Linked DNA regions of Macaca mulatta. The protein of the gene in region 3 interacts with the protein of the main gene of each other region in a pairwise test. Links are inferred from orthologs where the notes say so. Each region holds a gene or a part of one and is shown on either strand. Other genes may lie near its edges.

The links.
Region 1: the proteins of KRT40 (region 3) and DLGAP2 interact in a two-hybrid assay, tested with the Homo sapiens proteins (2 studies listed by BioGRID). The link is inferred for Macaca mulatta from reciprocal best matches to the Homo sapiens genes KRT40 and DLGAP2.
Region 2: the proteins of KRT40 (region 3) and SHFL interact in binary tests that used the Homo sapiens proteins (3 or more experiments, as listed by UniProt). The two-hybrid records come from large-scale screens. The link is inferred for Macaca mulatta from reciprocal best matches to the Homo sapiens genes KRT40 and SHFL.
Region 4: the proteins of KRT40 (region 3) and CCDC185 interact in binary tests that used the Homo sapiens proteins (3 or more experiments, as listed by UniProt). The two-hybrid records come from large-scale screens. The link is inferred for Macaca mulatta from reciprocal best matches to the Homo sapiens genes KRT40 and CCDC185.
Region 5: the proteins of KRT40 (region 3) and AP1M1 interact in binary tests that used the Homo sapiens proteins (3 or more experiments, as listed by UniProt). The two-hybrid records come from large-scale screens. The link is inferred for Macaca mulatta from reciprocal best matches to the Homo sapiens genes KRT40 and AP1M1.

What each region holds. Positions count from the first base shown.
Region 1 is NC_133413.1:2,258,771-2,261,250, reverse strand, and holds the end of DLGAP2 (disks large-associated protein 2), read right to left. Parts: intron 2,063-2,480; coding exon 1,844-2,062; 3' UTR 506-1,843; downstream 1-505.
Region 2 is NC_133424.1:10,799,929-10,804,039, reverse strand, and holds the end of SHFL (shiftless antiviral inhibitor of ribosomal frameshifting protein), read right to left. Parts: intron 4,055-4,111; coding exon 4,016-4,054; intron 3,814-4,015; coding exon 3,664-3,813; intron 2,503-3,663; coding exon 2,399-2,502; intron 2,293-2,398; coding exon of another isoform or gene 2,277-2,292; coding exon 2,122-2,276; intron 1,682-2,121; coding exon 1,449-1,681; 3' UTR 1,162-1,448; coding exon of another isoform or gene 971-1,161; 3' UTR 501-970; downstream 1-500. Other genes in the region: ANGPTL6 (angiopoietin-related protein 6), read left to right, coding at 1-53, 127-397, 971-1,161.
Region 3 is NC_133421.1:65,362,781-65,365,383, reverse strand, and holds part of KRT40 (keratin, type I cytoskeletal 40), read left to right. Parts: coding exon 1-24; intron 25-1,182; coding exon 1,183-1,344; intron 1,345-1,423; coding exon 1,424-1,549; intron 1,550-2,603. UniProt on the Homo sapiens protein: May play a role in late hair differentiation.
Region 4 is NC_133406.1:81,268,378-81,272,656, forward strand, and holds the start of CCDC185 (coiled-coil domain-containing protein 185), read left to right. Parts: upstream 1-1,464; 5' UTR 1,465-1,626; intron 1,627-4,089; 5' UTR 4,090-4,279.
Region 5 is NC_133424.1:16,685,887-16,689,405, reverse strand, and holds part of AP1M1 (AP-1 complex subunit mu-1), read right to left. Parts: intron 2,633-3,519; exon of another isoform or gene 2,121-2,632; intron 1,942-2,120; exon of another isoform or gene 1,922-1,941; coding exon of another isoform or gene 1,894-1,921; coding exon 1,826-1,893; intron 253-1,825; coding exon 122-252; intron 1-121. UniProt on the Homo sapiens protein: Subunit of clathrin-associated adaptor protein complex 1 that plays a role in protein sorting in the trans-Golgi network (TGN) and endosomes.

The DNA.
Region 1 (2,480 bases), on a different chromosome or scaffold from region 3:
ATATACCAGATACGAGGCTTAATTTACAGGGTTTTGTTGTTACAGGGAATTCTTAACTACTCAGCTTTAAAAAAGTAAAACTTCGAAGCTAAACATGCTTTAGTATCAGCTCTGCTCCCAATGGTCCCATGCTCCGTGGGATGTGGCGAATGAGGCAGGGAGACCCCGCGGCTCTGGAGGGCGCTCTGCCGGACAGCTGCGCCTCGAACGCCCTGCCAGCCACGGGCTGCAGAGGGGCCGGGGACGCTGTAAAGTGCAAATCAAGGTGAAGAAACAAAGTGCTATGGGTCGTCCTCGAAAGCGGTTCTGCCTGTGGCTAAGTACATGGTACTCCTTAAGCCGGGAAGGAAGACCAGGTACTGGGGTGGAAACATCTTACATCGCAGTCCTGCTTTTACTCTGAGTAATAACGAGGACTCTGAAACTGGAACCCAGTGGGAAAATCTGATAGGCTTTTCCTTCGAAGACTGGTCTGAACTGTGAAACAAGTCGTGTTGGAACAACGGTCATGGCAGCTGAATTTAATGATACACACGGAGAGCCTATTAGTCGTTCCTATTTTCCTCTGGCACCGACCACAGAGTCATGAACACTAATTTTTTTTTTTTTTTTGAATTCCACAGCTGGAAATCACAATATGTGACCTCTTTTTCCCTTCAGGTCTAACACAGGCAAGGAATATATTCTTGACTTAAGCAATACTGCATTGGACAAAATAATTCTGGAAAAATACAAATGTAAACTACATTTCTTCTTTACCATTTAAACTGAGATATACTTACCACTCACATTCATATTTCTGAAACTTTTTACAACATCACAATTGTCATTTTAAACAAGCAAACTTTTTGTGTTTTTTTTTTTTCGTGGTTTTTTTTTTTAAGGATACCCTGGAAAGTCAGCTGATAGAACAATTTGAGAATATATATACATACATTAAAAAAATCACATGTAGCGTAAATGGTGAAACTTAAAGAAAATACTGGGTGTCGTATTTTAAGTTACAAAGAAATAAAAAATACAATAACTATTTCATAGAAGTAAGGACATTGTTTCCCCTTTATGCTCCCAGCCCTCCGTAAGACTCTCCTCTCTCTGCCTGTGACCTCCTCGTGGGAACACTCGGCTTATCTTTTCAACGTGTAGATGCTGTGCTGGGTATTTTAGTGGGTTCAGATTTGTCATCCCCTGGGATGCTGGAGAACTGTATGGTGGGGAGTTTGGTGGCTGGAGAGAGAACTTTCCCTCACAGTAAGCTGGACACAAGGAGCCTAATGTTTTCTGCCTGTGACAAACAGGAGCAGGAGAGCGGAGCGGGTGGATGGGCTGCCTGTGCTCAGGGAGCAAAAGCTCGGGTGTGCGAGGGGAATGGGCCTTTCTTCCTGCACTTCAGGTTGTAGCACCTTCCACTTGGGTGTCTAATGCCTCTAGGGGGTGGTGAGATGCACCCATTTATAGTTATTTGTTATTCTTACCTCTAATTATCACACAATTTATAAAAATAGAAATAACAAAATGTAAGCTGGGTTCCAGCTCCAGAGGCATTTCTCGCCGTCCTCTGAGAACACGGAGGAGAAGTCAGGTCTCACCACGCCTGTCCCTCAGAGCCGAGTGTGAGCCAGGCCACCAGTTAAAAAAAAACAAACAAAAGTCGTCCTCGCCACGAGCTCCGTGGACTCTGAGGCCACTGACCGCATTCCACTGTGTTCACGGTACAAGGAGCATGAGAGCAAGGGCGTGTTCAGTGGAAGAAATGACAGAAACCACCAGGGAGGCAACAAACTGTACAAGCGTTTTGTGAAAAAGCAGGAACAACCAAGGGGAAGGTGGCCGGCCTCCATCCTCAGAGCCGGGTCTGGGCCTCGGGGATGTAGATCTCGATGCTGTCCGCGCGCTCGGTGGCAGAATTCTGCCGGAAGGACGCCGCTCGCTTGGCGGCCATGAGTCGTCTCCGGGCTTCCTGACGTTGTCTGTCGGGCAGGTCCAGGGATTTTTCTCTTGTGATGGGAAATTTCCCTTTGGGGGGCTTCTTTGGTATTGGAGGTGGGACCTTTCTTTCTTCCTGAAAAGCATCACAAGTCAACATTGGCAGGTGGTCGGAGGTGGGTCCTTAACAGCTCAGTGTCCCTGGGGTCTGGCCCACACCCTTCCCGACCACAACCCCCGTGGCAGCATCCTTCATTCCCTTCCCACGTTTCCCCTGGTCCCTGACTCCCAGGCCACAGGCTTGCCTTCTGCACAGTATGTAATTTTAGAAGCTCCCTCACACTCTGAATTCAAAGGGGGCAGAGGTGTTGGGGGCAGGGTTCACGAATCAGGAAATACATTCTGCAGATTCGCGCCTTGCGTCTCTGGAGTCACTGAGTTATTCTGACATTGTTGCCTGATTCCTGCACTTCCCGAAGCCCTGTGTCATCTCCTCTGAGCATCGGCCGATACCTGCGTCGCCAAGCTCGGCACTGCGAGGGTTTTGGACACCA
Region 2 (4,111 bases), on a different chromosome or scaffold from region 3:
AGCGGAGGCAAGATGGTTCAGTCAACTTCTTCACTACCTGGCAGCACTATAAGGTGGGCACAGGTGGGCAGAGACAGGGAAGGGGAGGGAGCCTGTTCTGGCTTCCTGACTTTCCTGCCCTGCCAGGCGGGCTTTGGGCGGCCAGACGGAGAATACTGGCTGGGCCTTGAACCCGTGTATCAGCTGACCAGCCGTGGGGACCATGAGCTGCTGGTTCTCCTGGAAGACTGGGGGGGCCGTGGAGCACGTGCCCACTATGATGGCTTCTCCCTGGAACCTGAGAGCGACCACTACCGCCTGCGGCTTGGCCAGTACCATGGTGATGCTGGAGACTCTCTTTCCTGGCACAACGACAAGCCCTTCAGCACCGTGGATAGGGACCGAGACTCTTATTCTGGTAAGGAGAACTCTTATTCTGGTGGGAGGATAGGGGAGGTGGGACTCCTGTTCTGGTGAGGGAATGAAAGGAGGTAGGGTAGGTAAGACGCCCCTCTGGTAAGTAGTAGGATAAGCAAGCTTTTATTCTGTCAAGAGAACAAAGGTCAGGACTTTTATCCTGGTGGGGGTATGGGGAGTCCAGATTCCTTCTCTGATGAGGCAAAAAAAGAATCAAGACTCCTGTTCAAGTGAAGGGCAGAGGGTGAGAGCTAGTACTCTTATCTAGAAAGGAAGTAGGTAATTTTCTTTTCTTTGATAAAGGAATGAGTGGTAGACTCCTAATTTGCAGAAAAAGTGGGAAAGGTGTGACTCGTACTTTGGTAAGGAGATAGGGAAGGAATTAAGGCTATTACTCCGAAGAAAGTTGGGGGGCCAGGGCTCCTATTTTTTTGCTGAGGAGATGGAAGATCAGGGCTTGTATTAAATAAGAATGGGAGGGGCCAGGGGATACCTGGCAAAAGCCTTGCACTGTGAGGTGCAGGTAGAGACTTTTATTCTGGTGAGAGGACATGGACTCTCTCTCTCCCCTCAGGTAACTGTGCCCTGTACCAGCGGGGAGGCTGGTGGTACCATGCCTGTGCCCACTCCAACCTCAACGGTGTGTGGCACCGTGGCGGCCACTACCGAAGCCGCTACCAGGATGGTGTCTACTGGGCTGAGTTTCGTGGTGGAGCATACTCTCTCAGGAAGGCCGCCATGCTCATTCGGCCCCTGAAGCTGTGACTCTCTGTTCCTCTGTCCCCTAGGCCCCAGGGGACATTGGTCAGCAGGAACTCAAGTTGTCCTGGCCACACCTTCTTTGTGGCTCAGTGCCAGTGTGTCCCACAGAACCTCCCACTGTGGATCTGTGACCCTGGGTGCTGAAAATGGGCCCCAGGAATCCCCCCCTGTCAATATCTTGGCCCCAGATGGCTCCCCAAGGTCATTCATATCTCGGTTTGAGCTCATATCTTATAATAACACAAAGTAGCCACAGACCGTGTCTGGTTTGTATCTGCACCTGGCAGGGGTCACTCCCTGGGCCCGCCCTCCTCGTCCTCCACCTCTTCCTCTTCCTCCTCCTCCTCCTTCAGGTCCTCCAGGATGAGGTTGTCCAGGTCTTCCAGGAGGCCGCCCTGGCTCAAGCAGGTGGCCACAGTGGAGCCACTGCTAATGTGAGGGTTGCTGGGGTGGAGCACTTTGGGCAGGTGGTTCTGCTTCCGGCTCTTGGGGTGAGCACAGGATGTCCCAGGCACGTGGGGCTCTAGGGAGGGAGAGGTGCTGCAGACATGGGACTCCAGGTCCCATGAGAGTTTGGGCAGGAGGGGGCTGAGGCCACGAGGGGCTCTAGGGAGGAGCTGAGGCCACAATATACGGGGACCAGCACAACTGGACATTCAGGGGTGTTGAAGATACAGGAGACCTGGGGACATGGGGGGTCACCTGAGATTACAGGGGACAAAACAGGGGCCCCAAACCCAGAGACCATGGGGGCAGAGGCCATGGAGACCCTCAGGCATGGGCCACTGGGGTGAAACCTCAGAGCCTCGTGGGCAAGACCACGGAGACTGGGGGGCCATGGAGGCCACGTAGAAGCAGTGGCTGCTGCTGTGGGAGACGAAGTGGACTGAGTGGAGATTTGGGGACTTAAAGGCACAGAAGGGGACAAAGACTGCCCAGGATGTTGGAGGAGAAAAGCCTCACCTCGCCGGTTGTAGCAGTCGGCGGCCGAGCAGGAGTGAGTGTGGGTGCTGCGGCGATCCGGGTCCCGGTCCCAGCGCGGGGGGAGGATCCGTGTTGGATACACGGGGAAGCCGCACCCGTAGCAGGGGGACGGGGACCCCATCTGTGCCCAGCCCCTGGGGGCGGGCAGGGCTGTGAGGGTCCGAGGGCGAGGCTGGGCCAGGGTGGGGCCAGGGCAGGGAGGGGCAGGGCTGGGGTGGGGCAGGGCTGAGGGGGAGCTGGGGGTCAGCGCCCTCACCGGAAGTTGTGCCGACACTTCGGGCAGTGGAACTCAGCCAGGCCCCACATCTTGTCAGCTGGCACTGGCTCGTAGCGCTTCCGGCATTTCCGGCACCGGGATACCTGGTGGTGGTAGGGCGGGGCGTGCAGAGAGGGGACCAAGGATTGTCAGAGGTGTCTGAGGTTGGGGTCAGGGCTAGAAGTGTGCTGCAGTGGCTGGCCTCAGCTTGAGCAACCCAACTCAATCAGTGACTTCACATGGGTAGCCTCATATTGACCATGGTGGGAATACTTACACCACAGAAATTGGCAAACACTACACATCTTGGCTTCCTGCCTCTTTTGCAAGAACTAATTAAGCATTGACCAGAAGCGAACTACTGGTCAGGACATTCAGAGGCCAGATTTGGGGCTGTGTTTTTGAGGTCAGATTTGGTTTCTTTTCTTTCTTTCTTTCTTTTTTCAGAGACAGAGTCTCACTCTGTCATCCAGGCTGGAATACAGTGTTGTGATCATGACTCACTGCAGCCTCCACCTCCTAGGCTCAAACGATCCTCCCACCTCAGCCTCCTGAGTAGTTGGGACCACAGGCACACACCGCCACTCCCAGCTAATTAAAAAAAATTTTTTTGCCAGACGCAGTGGCTCATGCCTGTAATCCCAGCACTTTGGGAGGCTGAGGCGGTAGATTGCTTGAGCTCAGGAGTTTGAGACCAGCTTGGGCAACATGGCAAAACCCCATCTCCACACACACACACAAAATACAAAAATTAGCCAAGTGTGGTGGCGCAGGCCTGTAGTCTCAGTTACTTGGGAGGCTGAGTGGGGAGGATCATCTGAGCCCAGGAGGTGGAGGCTGCAGTGAGATATGATCCCGCCACTGTACTCCAGCCTGGACGACAGGGCGAGACCCCATCTCTTCAAAACAAAAATTTTTTTGGAGCCAGGGTCTCACCCTGTCACCCAGGCTGGTCTCAAACTCCTAGGTTCAAGCAGTCCTCCCCACTTAGCCTCCCAAAACACTGAGATTGCAGCCATGAGCCACTGCGCCTGGCCAGGTTTGATTTCTGTAGTAGCTGTTCAATTGTGGGGTCAAGGGTCAGGCTCTGGGGTAAGGAGGTATTGGACTTCTCACATTTAAGGTCAGGGGTTGGGATCAAGATGAAGGCTGAGCTCTGAGTTTGGAGGTCAGTGATGGAAATCCTTAGGTCAGAGGTACAGTCACTGAGGATGGGAGTCAGGAGTGGAGTTCGGGACAGTCAAGGTTAAGTTGTGGGTCACTACCTCCTTCCTCTGGGGCACGCGGCGCCACCAGACGTGGTCGCAGGAGGAGCAGGCAAACTGCCGGTCCACAGCAGGGATAAGGTCGTCCTGGGCACGTTGAAACATGCGTAGGTTGGCTTCTGTCAGCGGCAGGAGGGAGGTCGCCACTGCCTGTGGAATGGGGCAGGTGGGGATGAGGTGGAGGGGGGTCACCCCTTCTGCACTAGCATAAGCATCAGCCCTCCTCTCCCTACAGACAAGTCCTCCTCCTGCCCCAGTGAATATCTCCCCTCCTGCCCTAATGGACATCCTTCCGTGCCTGCAGATGTCCCCCTCCCCACTTCCCCATCTCAAGCCCTAGCCACCAACTCACCTGAATGTCCCGGTCCTGTTTCATATCTTCTGGTGGATCCTGGGTGGAGATAGCAGGGGCATAAACTGGGATGGGGCTCAGGCCTCTTTTCCACCT
Region 3 (2,603 bases):
TGCCTTAAGAAAAACCATGAAGAGGTGAGGAAAGCGGCAACGCCACTGAAGGACTCCGAGAGTAACGTACTTAACACTGACAGATGATCTGTTGATGTTTGTAAATCAAATTTGGGCAGATGTTGCTTAAGCTGGAATAAAACTACTCCAGGCAGGGCCAAGCGTGGTGGCTCATGCCTGTAATCCGAGCACTTTGGGAGGCCGAGGCAGGTAGATCACAAGGTCAGGAGTTCGAGACCAGCCTGGCCAATATGATGAAACCCCATCTCTACTAAAAATACAAAAATTAGCTGGGCATGGTGGCGGGTACCTGTAGTCCCAGCTACTCGGGAGGCTGAGGCAGGAGAATAGCTTGAACCCAGGAGGCGGAGGTTGCAGTGAGCCGAGATCTCGCCACTGCACTCCAACCTGGGCAACAGAGCAAGACTCCATCTCAAAAAACAAACAAACAAAAAAGCGGAAAAACTACTCGAGGCATTATTACTATTCAACCTGATCATTCCAGCGTGTCTCTGAATTAACATGTGAAATAGCCCCTAGACAGTGCCAGACAAAGGAACCAAACTCTTCTCCTGCCCTTGCCTTTGTGGAGGAGGTGAGTAACTTCACAAATGGCTTCCTTTGGAGGCTTTATGCCACCCCTAGCTCCAATCCACAGGGTATGAAAATCAGTCTGAGAAACAGACTATGAAGTCCGTTTCAAAAAAGGGATAAGGACTCATGCACTATCTGGACCAGTGTTTTTAAATATTCCGCATTTATAAACTTTTAAAAGTCATAAAATATAAAGTGATTAATACAGTGATAAAGCTAGAAAATGAAAAGCTGAATGATGTAACAAAGTACGTTTGCTCTTTGAATATTTGTTGATGACAATCATAGCTAACATTTATTGACACCTTACTATGTGTCATAATTAACTTTTATAAGTTAATTATGTGTAGATTAACTCTTCTAGATCTCACAATAACCTTCTGGAAAAATGTCCGATTATTATGTCCATTTTACAGACGAAGAAATTGAGGCCCTTCTAAGTGGTGAAAAGAGATTCAGCCCAGACAACCTGAATCAAAATCTCACACTTTTACCTACTACTCCACAAAACAGAAGTAGAATGCCATTGGATGTCAAATGGATTTTTCCCCATCATTCTGTGACATCTTTATGCCATCCCACTTTCAGGAAGTCAACTTGCTTCGTGGACAGCTTGGCGACCGCCTCAGTGTGGAGCTGGACACTGCCCCCACCCTTGACCTCAACAGGGTCCTGGATGAGATGCGCTGTCAGTATGAAACGGTGCTTGCCAACAATCGCAGAGAAGCCGAAGAATGGTTTGCTGTTCAGGTCAGCACCCAGATCGAAAAAATGGCAAGGTTACAGACTTCCGCCTTTTGTGAATTCTCTAATGGTGCCTGTGTTTCAGACAGAAGAGCTGAATCAGCAGCAACTGTCCAGTGCGGAGCAGCTGCAGGGCTGCCAGACGGAGATCTTGGAATTGAAACGCACAGCCAATGCTCTGGAAATTGAGCTCCAAGCACAGCAAAGCCTGGTGCGTGAGGCAAAGGCAGTGTCCGTTATGTCACTGATAAGTCAGGCTCTGAGATGTTAAGCCCTCTTCCATATCCAGGGATCACATTTCCTTGCCTTTCCCAAGTACTGCCGTTTACCCAGTATTAATAGAAGCAGAAGTGACAGGTCCACAGCTTGTGTTGTCCCTCTAAGATGCCTTACCTTCACTCCTGGGCTTGAGTCTGATGCTGCAGCAGCCTCCAGAGACAGGGAGGGAGAAGCAGAGCGAGAGAAACCTCCAGGCCATGGTCACTTAAGCATTCCAGCAGGTTTTAATTCTCATTTGATTCAGGCCAGTTTTCCAGGCTCACTGTTATATCTAAAACAAAGAATCATTTTCAAACATTTCATCCTACAGTTTCCCTACAGGATCTACACTTCAACCTGATCCTTCACTGTACCCCACCCCACTCAAGCAACAAGAACACCATGCGTCCAAGATGACATGAACCAGTTCTGGTCAAGCACCACTGTGTGCATGTCATTAGATCCTGCGGAGAATACCTAGGAGAACAATAGCTGAGCATTCATCCAGTGAGAGGCACTATGCTCATTTAAGCCTCACAGTAACTTCACGGGATAGATACCTTTATCCCATGACACAGATAAGGAAAACTGAGACTCAGATTAAGTAACCTGCAAAGGATGCAATTCTAAGAGGCAAACTTGGAAGCTGAGTTCAGCCAGTTGAATCCCAGAGCCTCTTCTCTCTCTCTTTTTAAATTTATTTTTATTGATATACAATATTTGTAAATATTTATGGAGTAGATGTGCTATTTTGTAACATGCATAGAATGTGTAACGATCAAGTCAGGATATTTACAGCATCCATCACCTCAAGTATTTATCATTTCTACGTGTTGGGAGCATTTCAAGCCCACTCTTCTAGCTATTTTGAAATGCACAGTGTATTGTTGTTAACTGTAGTCACCCTTCTCTGCTGTCCAACATGAAAACGTATTCCTTCTGTCTAGCTGTATGTTTGCACCCATTAACCAACCTCTCTTCATCCCCTTACCACACACATGCCCTTC
Region 4 (4,279 bases), on a different chromosome or scaffold from region 3:
GGCTTTGTGACAATGTGCCAAGGCTTGGAGCTTCCCCACCAGGCCCCTCAAAGGAAAAGGTTTCTCTTTCAAGTTTTGGTGGTTTACTCCAGACATTCTATTTGCTGTTCTGTGTGGGGTTCACTTGTTATTACAACTTCTTTTACCAAATTTCCAAGATTGTTGTCTTCAAGATCACCTACACTGGAGATCTGCTATCACTACCACTTGGTTTAGAAACTCTCCTTCTCCATATCAAAGCATCCCAATGCCAGGAACCCTCAAACTCTGACCTGTTTCTCCAATCCATCCTTTCTTGTCCCATGGCTATTGCCCTGGTTTACGTTTCCTTTTTGCCCACCCAGACTGCTGAACCAGCCTACTAATTGATCATGCACGCTGCTGCCAGGATGAACTTTCTAAAATCTAGATCCCATTGGGTTACTTTCCTGGTTTCAAGACTTTTCTTAACGCCTTGCTGTGATCTACACAGTGGATTTCAACTCTCATAAAAAAGGATTGAAATAGGAGAACCCCAAATTTTTTCAGTGAAGTGTTACAAGGAGCCCCAAGATATAAAACAGATAAAGTCTAAGCTGCCCTGGGTAAAGCAAGGACGGAGGCCTCAGAGCCTGCCCTAAAGTCCTCCAGCCCCGCCCCTCTGGGCCCAATGCAGCTCTGGGGGAATCCTGGAGCGCTTCTGGACACAGCTGGGATGCTGCAGCCCAGTGGGAGGACGTCTATGCTTCCTGGCTTGGCATAGCAGGCCCTACAGAATGTGCCCCAGCCCACCTTTCTGGCTTTATCACCTGCCACTTCACTCGCGCACACTCCCCATGCCCCTGCTACACAAATCACACATGACCCCAATGTGCCAGGCATTTGAGGCTCCACACTGCAGCCCAAGCAGCTTCCTCGGCCTGGTGTCTTCCTGCTCATCCCTGTCTCGACAATCCTAATTGTCCTTCCAGGTTTCACTCCAGTATCATCCGTATGGAGCCCTCTCTTATAAAAAATTCGGACAGAGCACACCCCCACTCTCCCCTGGGAATTCTGTTAAGGTGAACTATTTAACCACTTACAACATCTGCTACCTAGAACTGTTTCTCTTAGCAATATCATCTTTTTAATCCTGGCCCAGATTATCAATAAATTTGTGTGACATTACGCAGTGAAGACTCTGTCCTTTATTCCAGTGTCAGCAGAGGTGAGTGAGCCATACACAATTCCCTGAGGAATCCTGAGAATCTTCAGAGGAAGCAAGAAGTCAAAGAGCCCCAAACTGGAAATCTGAGCCCTTGGGTTCTCATTCTGGCTCCATCCCAAACTAAGTCTTTAAATTCAGCTCTACACTGCCATGGTTTTAGTGCTCTTGGCATAATGATAATGATTATTCTAATGGCTAATATTTATAAGGCAGCTACCACATGCAGACAGACACTGCTGTAAGCGTTTTTCATGGATTAACTCATTTTTGCTTTACAGAACAAAGGCTGAAGCATTTACTAGATTGAACCCTTTCTCCAGCTGCATTTGGGACTGAAAGAGACTTTACAGGGATGAGGAAACCAAGACATAGGTGAAATGACTTCTCAGGTGACTCAGCTGGTAGCAGAACTGGCTGGTGGCAGGTCTCCTGGTTTTCAGGTGGGTATACTTTCACCCACATAACACTGTTCTGTGGGAGTAGCCTGGGTATTGACCAGAGCCACACCTGTCCCTGCAAAATGTTTTACAAAGCTTCAACAGAGAGATATGACACTCAGCTATCAGCACAACTCAATACATGTAAAAATATTTCCTAACTTCAAAAGTTAAATGATTCCATTCAAATTTGGTTTACTTTTGAAATTACCATCTAGTAAGGGCTATATTCACATAAAATAATTTATTTAATGGGATACAAATGGTGCCAATAAAATCTAGGGTAGAAAACTTCTTATCCCCAGCTATAGACATGCTGGTGAGATCCTAATCAGGCAGAGTGGCTCCTTCCACTGTAGTTAAGGCTGCTACCACATGGCTTTAAGGACATGGTGTCCATGACCTTCTGCTGTATATCAGATCATAATTTTCCTAAAAGCATGGCTCAATTTATAGTGCATTCCCCAAGAGGCAGGCAGCACGCTATCATGGAAAGAGAAGTAAATCTGAAGTCAAAACTCCTGCCATTGACCAAGTGACTCTGGGGAAATCAGTTAATATGGCCAAGTCTTAGATTTGTCCAGTGGAAAATATTGTCAAGGCTATTGGTCCTTCCTAGCTGGGGTTGCTGTGATGCTTCAAGGAGACGTGAATGAAGAGGATTGGTGTGGGTAAATACTCATTTTTCTTCTTTAAGGAATGGTCATACTTGGAGAATGCTATCCAGAACTGTTTCCTCATTGCAACCCTGCCTTAGTCTCTTCTGGATGCTATTAACAAAATACCGCAGATTTGGTGGCATATAAATGAATGAAATTTATTTCTCACCATTTTGAAGGCTAAGAAGCCAAAGATCAAGACATCAGATTTGGTGTCTGGTGAGGATCATCTCCCTGGTTCAGAGATGGCCATCTTTTCACTGTGTCCTCACATGACAGAAGGGATGAGGGAGTTCTCTGGGACTCCTTTTATAAGGGCACTAATCCCACTGATGAGGGCTCCACCTGTATGACCTAATCACCTCCCAAAGGTCCCACCTCCTAATACCATCACCTTAAGGGTTAGAATTTTAACTTAAGAATTTGGGGGAAACACAAACCTTCAGACCATAGCAACCCCAGGGAAGGGAAGTGACTTAGCCAGGATCCACAGTATGATGTGAACATGACAGAGCTTGGAGTCACCCCTTTCTAGCACTCTATCCTTTACTTAAACTATTTTAAGATTACATTAATTGCATTATTTCCTTAAGCTAGAAATCTGCAGAAATATTTGTAAATTCATATATTACTTTAAGTCTTAACACTTTGTTTTTGAGACAAAGTCTCACTCTGTTGCCCAGACTGGGGTGCAGTGACATAATCATGGCTCACTGCAGCCTCAAATTCCTGGACTCAAGCAATCCTTCCACCTCAGCCTCCGGAATAGCTGGGACTACAAATGCACACACATGTTTAGCTAATTTTTAAAATGTTTATATAGAGGCAGAGTCTCTCTATGTTGCCCAGACTGGTCTAAGTCCTGGGCTCAAGGGATCCTCCTGCCTTGCCTTCCCCACATGCTAGGATTACAGGCATGAACCACCACCCAACCCAATTCTTAAAACTTTTAACTGACGCTTAGCATGGCACCAAAATGATATTTATTGAATGTATTCTGGTGCCAACCTCTGGATGCATCATTTCGTCTGATCCTCACAACAGTCCTGCAATGCTGGTAAGATGAGCCCGGCTTCCCACTCCATCTTGCTGGAACTGGAGGTCATGGAAACTTAAGGGATTTGCCCAAGAGCCCATGAGTGAAGAGTGGTAGAGGAGATTCAAATTCTTTTTCTCTACCAGATCCAGTGTTTTTCCCATTAGCCAAGGGTGCCTCAACAAGGAACAAGAATCCCACAAAATTCGAGGAAAAGGGGGAAAAATGTGATTTCAACATGGTGTTCACTGATGCTATTTCAGAAATGTGCACGCAGCATTCATATTTTGACAAAAGCAGTAATTACCATATTAGAAAATAGAGTCGTTGTCTTCCTTTTCTAAAAATCTTTAAAAGTTAACATTAAAGCATACTTTGGGCTTGCTAATTTAAAACGGCAAATGGATGGTGTCGCATATTAATGTGCGTCCACAGCCGCTCTATTTGACCATGTTGCAGAGGTACACACGTGCAGGACGGTGGTTCTGCAGCTGAGGTTATCTCCTCCCTGAAACTGCACCTTGGCCCTTCTCCCCACCCTTTTTATTCTGAGGGTGACGCCTTCACCCGGGCTCTCTTAAAATCCTGCTGTTTGTGTGCAAATGCGAGTTCAAATTTCTCCCTGAAACACTGGTGGGGGGACACTATGCACCCTCATCTTTAAATATCATCCTGATTTCCCACATATTCCCTCCTCCAACCTGCAACCCCTTTCTCCCCCACCCGACCCCCACCACCCCCATCTCCAGCCTCCTGTCCTTCCCATTCCAGGTGCTCCGAGTGCTAGCAAAACTGGGGTGGGCGGCGCCGGGCAAGGGCTGAAGACTGCGGGGACCCAGCTGCCAGGCGCATTGTGAAGTGGCCGGAGCGTCACAGGCGACCCCGACTTCGGGACCGGGGGGCGGGGCGGGTGTCTGCAGCGTCCTCTGGAGGTCTCAGACCCCTTGCGCAGACTCTGCGC
Region 5 (3,519 bases), on a different chromosome or scaffold from region 3:
GGTGGAAGGCAGGTGGGGGACAACACAAACACAAATTTGCCCCTTCTGTTTCCACACCTGATGACATCAATATCATGACACTGCCCAGGCCTTGCCCCAGGCCCCACCCTTGCCCACTCACTCCTGCAGGATCTTGCTGTCGGTGGTCTGGGGGTAGCCGAAGTCCATGAGCTCATCCAGCAGCTCGTAGATGATGACAAAGTTGTCCCGGATGCTCTCCTCCTCCAGCTCCTTGAAGTACTCGGAAAACACCTGTGGCGGTGAGGGAGGGAGGGAGGGAGGGACGAGAGGCAGATCGTTGAGCAGACAGATGAGGAATGAATGAACGCTTGCACACATTCATTTGCCCACTAAGTCCTACCAACAGCCCACTTCCCAGGCTCAGTGGCGTGCTACAGGCCCTGGACCCAGGTAATGGGGCAGGAGGACAGCAGTGGTTGGCTGTGGGGTGGGACCAGTCTGGAGCTGCTACAGATGTCCCCGTTCTCTTCCCTGCCCAGACACCCCCAGGCAGGGAGCCCCTCCTGAGCAACTGTAACTGTCATCCCTTCCTGAGTCTGGAGTGACTCAGGCGAGGACCTGATGAGCTACCATCTTCCCCATTTCAATGGAAAGCTCAGAAGGTTAAGGAAGGGACGCCAAAGAAGAGGGGCTGTTAGAAGCACTTTTGCAGGCACGAATGCTGAAGGAAGGGGCGTCACTAAAGCAGAAAGGAACTGCCCAACCCTTGGGTGAGGACCTTCCCCTTCCCTCATCCCCCATCCTCTGATCTGCTGACCCCATGCGCTTTAGGACTGTGATCGCCCGGCCCCTGCTTGGAAATCACAGGTGTCATAGCCAGGCCCAGCCCTGCCTGTGACAGCACCACGGGTCCAGTGAAGCAGCCCTTGGCCTGCACGCGGGGCCTTCCCAGATGACCCTCAGCTCCTTCCCCAAGCCCTCACCGCCCAGGCTTGCCCCTGTTCCCCAACATTCTGCACAGGCGGCATCAGTGAGGGATGAAAGCTTTCCCAGGCCCAGCACAGGCCTCCTGGGTCCTATTCCCCACTTTCTTGAGCCCCAGAGCCCGCCCCGGCCAGGCTCATCCTCTCCAGGAAGCCAGCAGCAGCCTCCTCACTGGCTTCCAGGCTGCCTTCAAGTCCTCCTTCTGCTCAGCAGCCAGAGAGGCTGCTTTAGATCAAACCATGTCTCGTCAGTCTCCTGCTTAAAGCCCTCCACCACCTTTCATCAGAAGTGGAACAAAATCCACACTCCTGTATAACCTGCCCTCTTCCCAGCTGACCTCAGCTTTATACTCTGCCAAAGGCATGCCGGCCTCCCTGGCCGCACCACACACACACCTGTCCCAGGACCTTTGCCCTGGCTGCTGTCTGCATCTCACTGGCAGCCTGGGCCTGGCGTGTCAGCTCTCTCCAAGGTGGGCCTCGGGCATCTGTGCCTTGAGAGCCCCCTGGGACATTCTAAGCTGGCTCAGCTCTGCAGCTCTGCTGGTTATTCCAGCCCCATCAGCTGGTCACCCCATATCCTTCCAAAGCTGGCTGGGGGACTTGCTTGTCCCTTCCAGGGTCAGGGCACCACTGCTCAGCCCCACCTTTTCCTGTTCACTTTCCTTTCTTCCCCGGGGTCAGGGAGCAACACGAGCTACAGAATTCCACAGGCATGGTGGCGGGGTTTGGGGCTCCCCTTTGCCACTTCCTGGGGTTCCAGCCCCAGCACTCTCTAGGGAGGCCACGGCTGTCTCTAAGGTGGCCGGGTATGGGGAGATCCACAAGCAGAGCCAAGACAGCTGCCACTCAAGCCCACAGCCCCGCTGAGCGAGACTCACCTGCACCACCTTATAGAGGAAGGAGAAGACCAGCGACACGCACGCATTCTTCTTGGATGTGGCAACCACTGCACGGTGGTCACAGTTAAGGAGCATTCAGAGGCTGGGGCTGCTGCCTGGAAGATCCCGGTTCATGGAGGGACCCTCTAACCCTCACAACCCTCAGAGCCTTCCCTACCCCCACTCCCAGCCGTTTACCTGGCCCATGGTCGGCTACCAAGCTCCTGGTCCAAGCTACACCTGGGACACAGGAGTCACCAGAAGGACATGCTCCCAGGCCCCAGGGAGCACTCACCGACATAGAGAATCACAGGGATGGCAGGTGGCACAGGGCACCTGTCCCAGTGGCTGGGTGAGGAGTTGCCCTGAGCAGGGAGGGAGTGAGGCTCATTCGAGGAGCAGAAAGCAGGACACACTGGCCCTGCTCCTCCAAAGCCGACACCTCGTCATGACCCTGATGAGGTCCAGGGTCCCCTGGCCAGACTCTGCGGCAAGTAGCCAGGGCCAATTCTGGCTTCAGCCCTTCCTGTCTTTGGTAACACAAGCCTTGGCCCATGAAATAAACCTTTCTAGAGAAACCTCAATATTTCTCTCCTGTGTAATGGGGGCCTGTGAATGAACTCACCAAGGCAATGTACGTGAGATGTCTGGCACAGATGCTCCCTTCTGCCACGGGAGCCAGCCCCTGCCGCCCAGGGTCAGTGTGTGCTGGGCGCTTCCTGTTCCTTTTTCCCTAATGGGCCCCCAGAGAAGGCTGGTTCTTCCTCTGTAGGCCCACGCACTGCACCCCGGACATCCCTGTTCACAGCATGTCTGTGCCGCCTGGCTTGTCTGCCCAGAGGTGAGCTCTAGGAGGGAGGGCGGGGGCTGCATCCTCTCTTCCCGCCTCACCCCAGCACAGCACAGGGCCCCAGGAAAGGGACGCTGGCCCAGTCAAACGAGCGCTGGCCTCCCTCCTGCTGCCTGGCAATGTGCCCTCCCCAGATGCTTTATAAGCAGGGGCAGGGGTGCCTCTCAGCTTCATGGGTGCCATTCAGCCACGGCCTTGCTGAGAACTGTCCCGGCTGGGGGTGAAAGGATGTCCACTCAGCCAGAGGGGTGAGCCCAGGTGTGAAATGTGGGGGCCCAACCAGAAACTGATCTGACGGCTCCTGCTGAGCTCGGACCACAGCCACCTCACCCTCCTGTCAATACCTGGGCGGCTTCAGAGGACTGTCAGCTCCCTGGGTTAAAAGCCACCTAAGATCATCTTCAGAGCTATTCTCAGGGCCTTCCAGAACCAGGTGAAATACACACAGAGGCGCACCACAGGGAGCCGTGGACCAGCACGGCCCACATGGGAATGTGCACACGAGTCACCAGGAACAGATCTTCCTACAATGCAGATTCTGACAGGGCAGGGCTGGGTGGAGCCCGGGATTCTGCATTTCCAAAGGGCTCCCAGGGGATGTTCTGGCCCATTGGCCACACTGTACTACTGGCAAGGCCCCAAGTGTCTCCAAGAACACAGGAAAGGGCAGAGAGCCCATGCTGCTGGGAGCAATGTGCACAAGTCAGCTCAACTGACCCGAATGGTCCTGCAGCGAGGGGTCGTTGTTCCCACCAAACTGTGGGAAGGTGAGGGATTCGCCTCCAGCCCCATGGCTGCTGGAGCTGGGGCTCAAACCAGGCTGTGGCTGCAAAGCAGGCCCTTC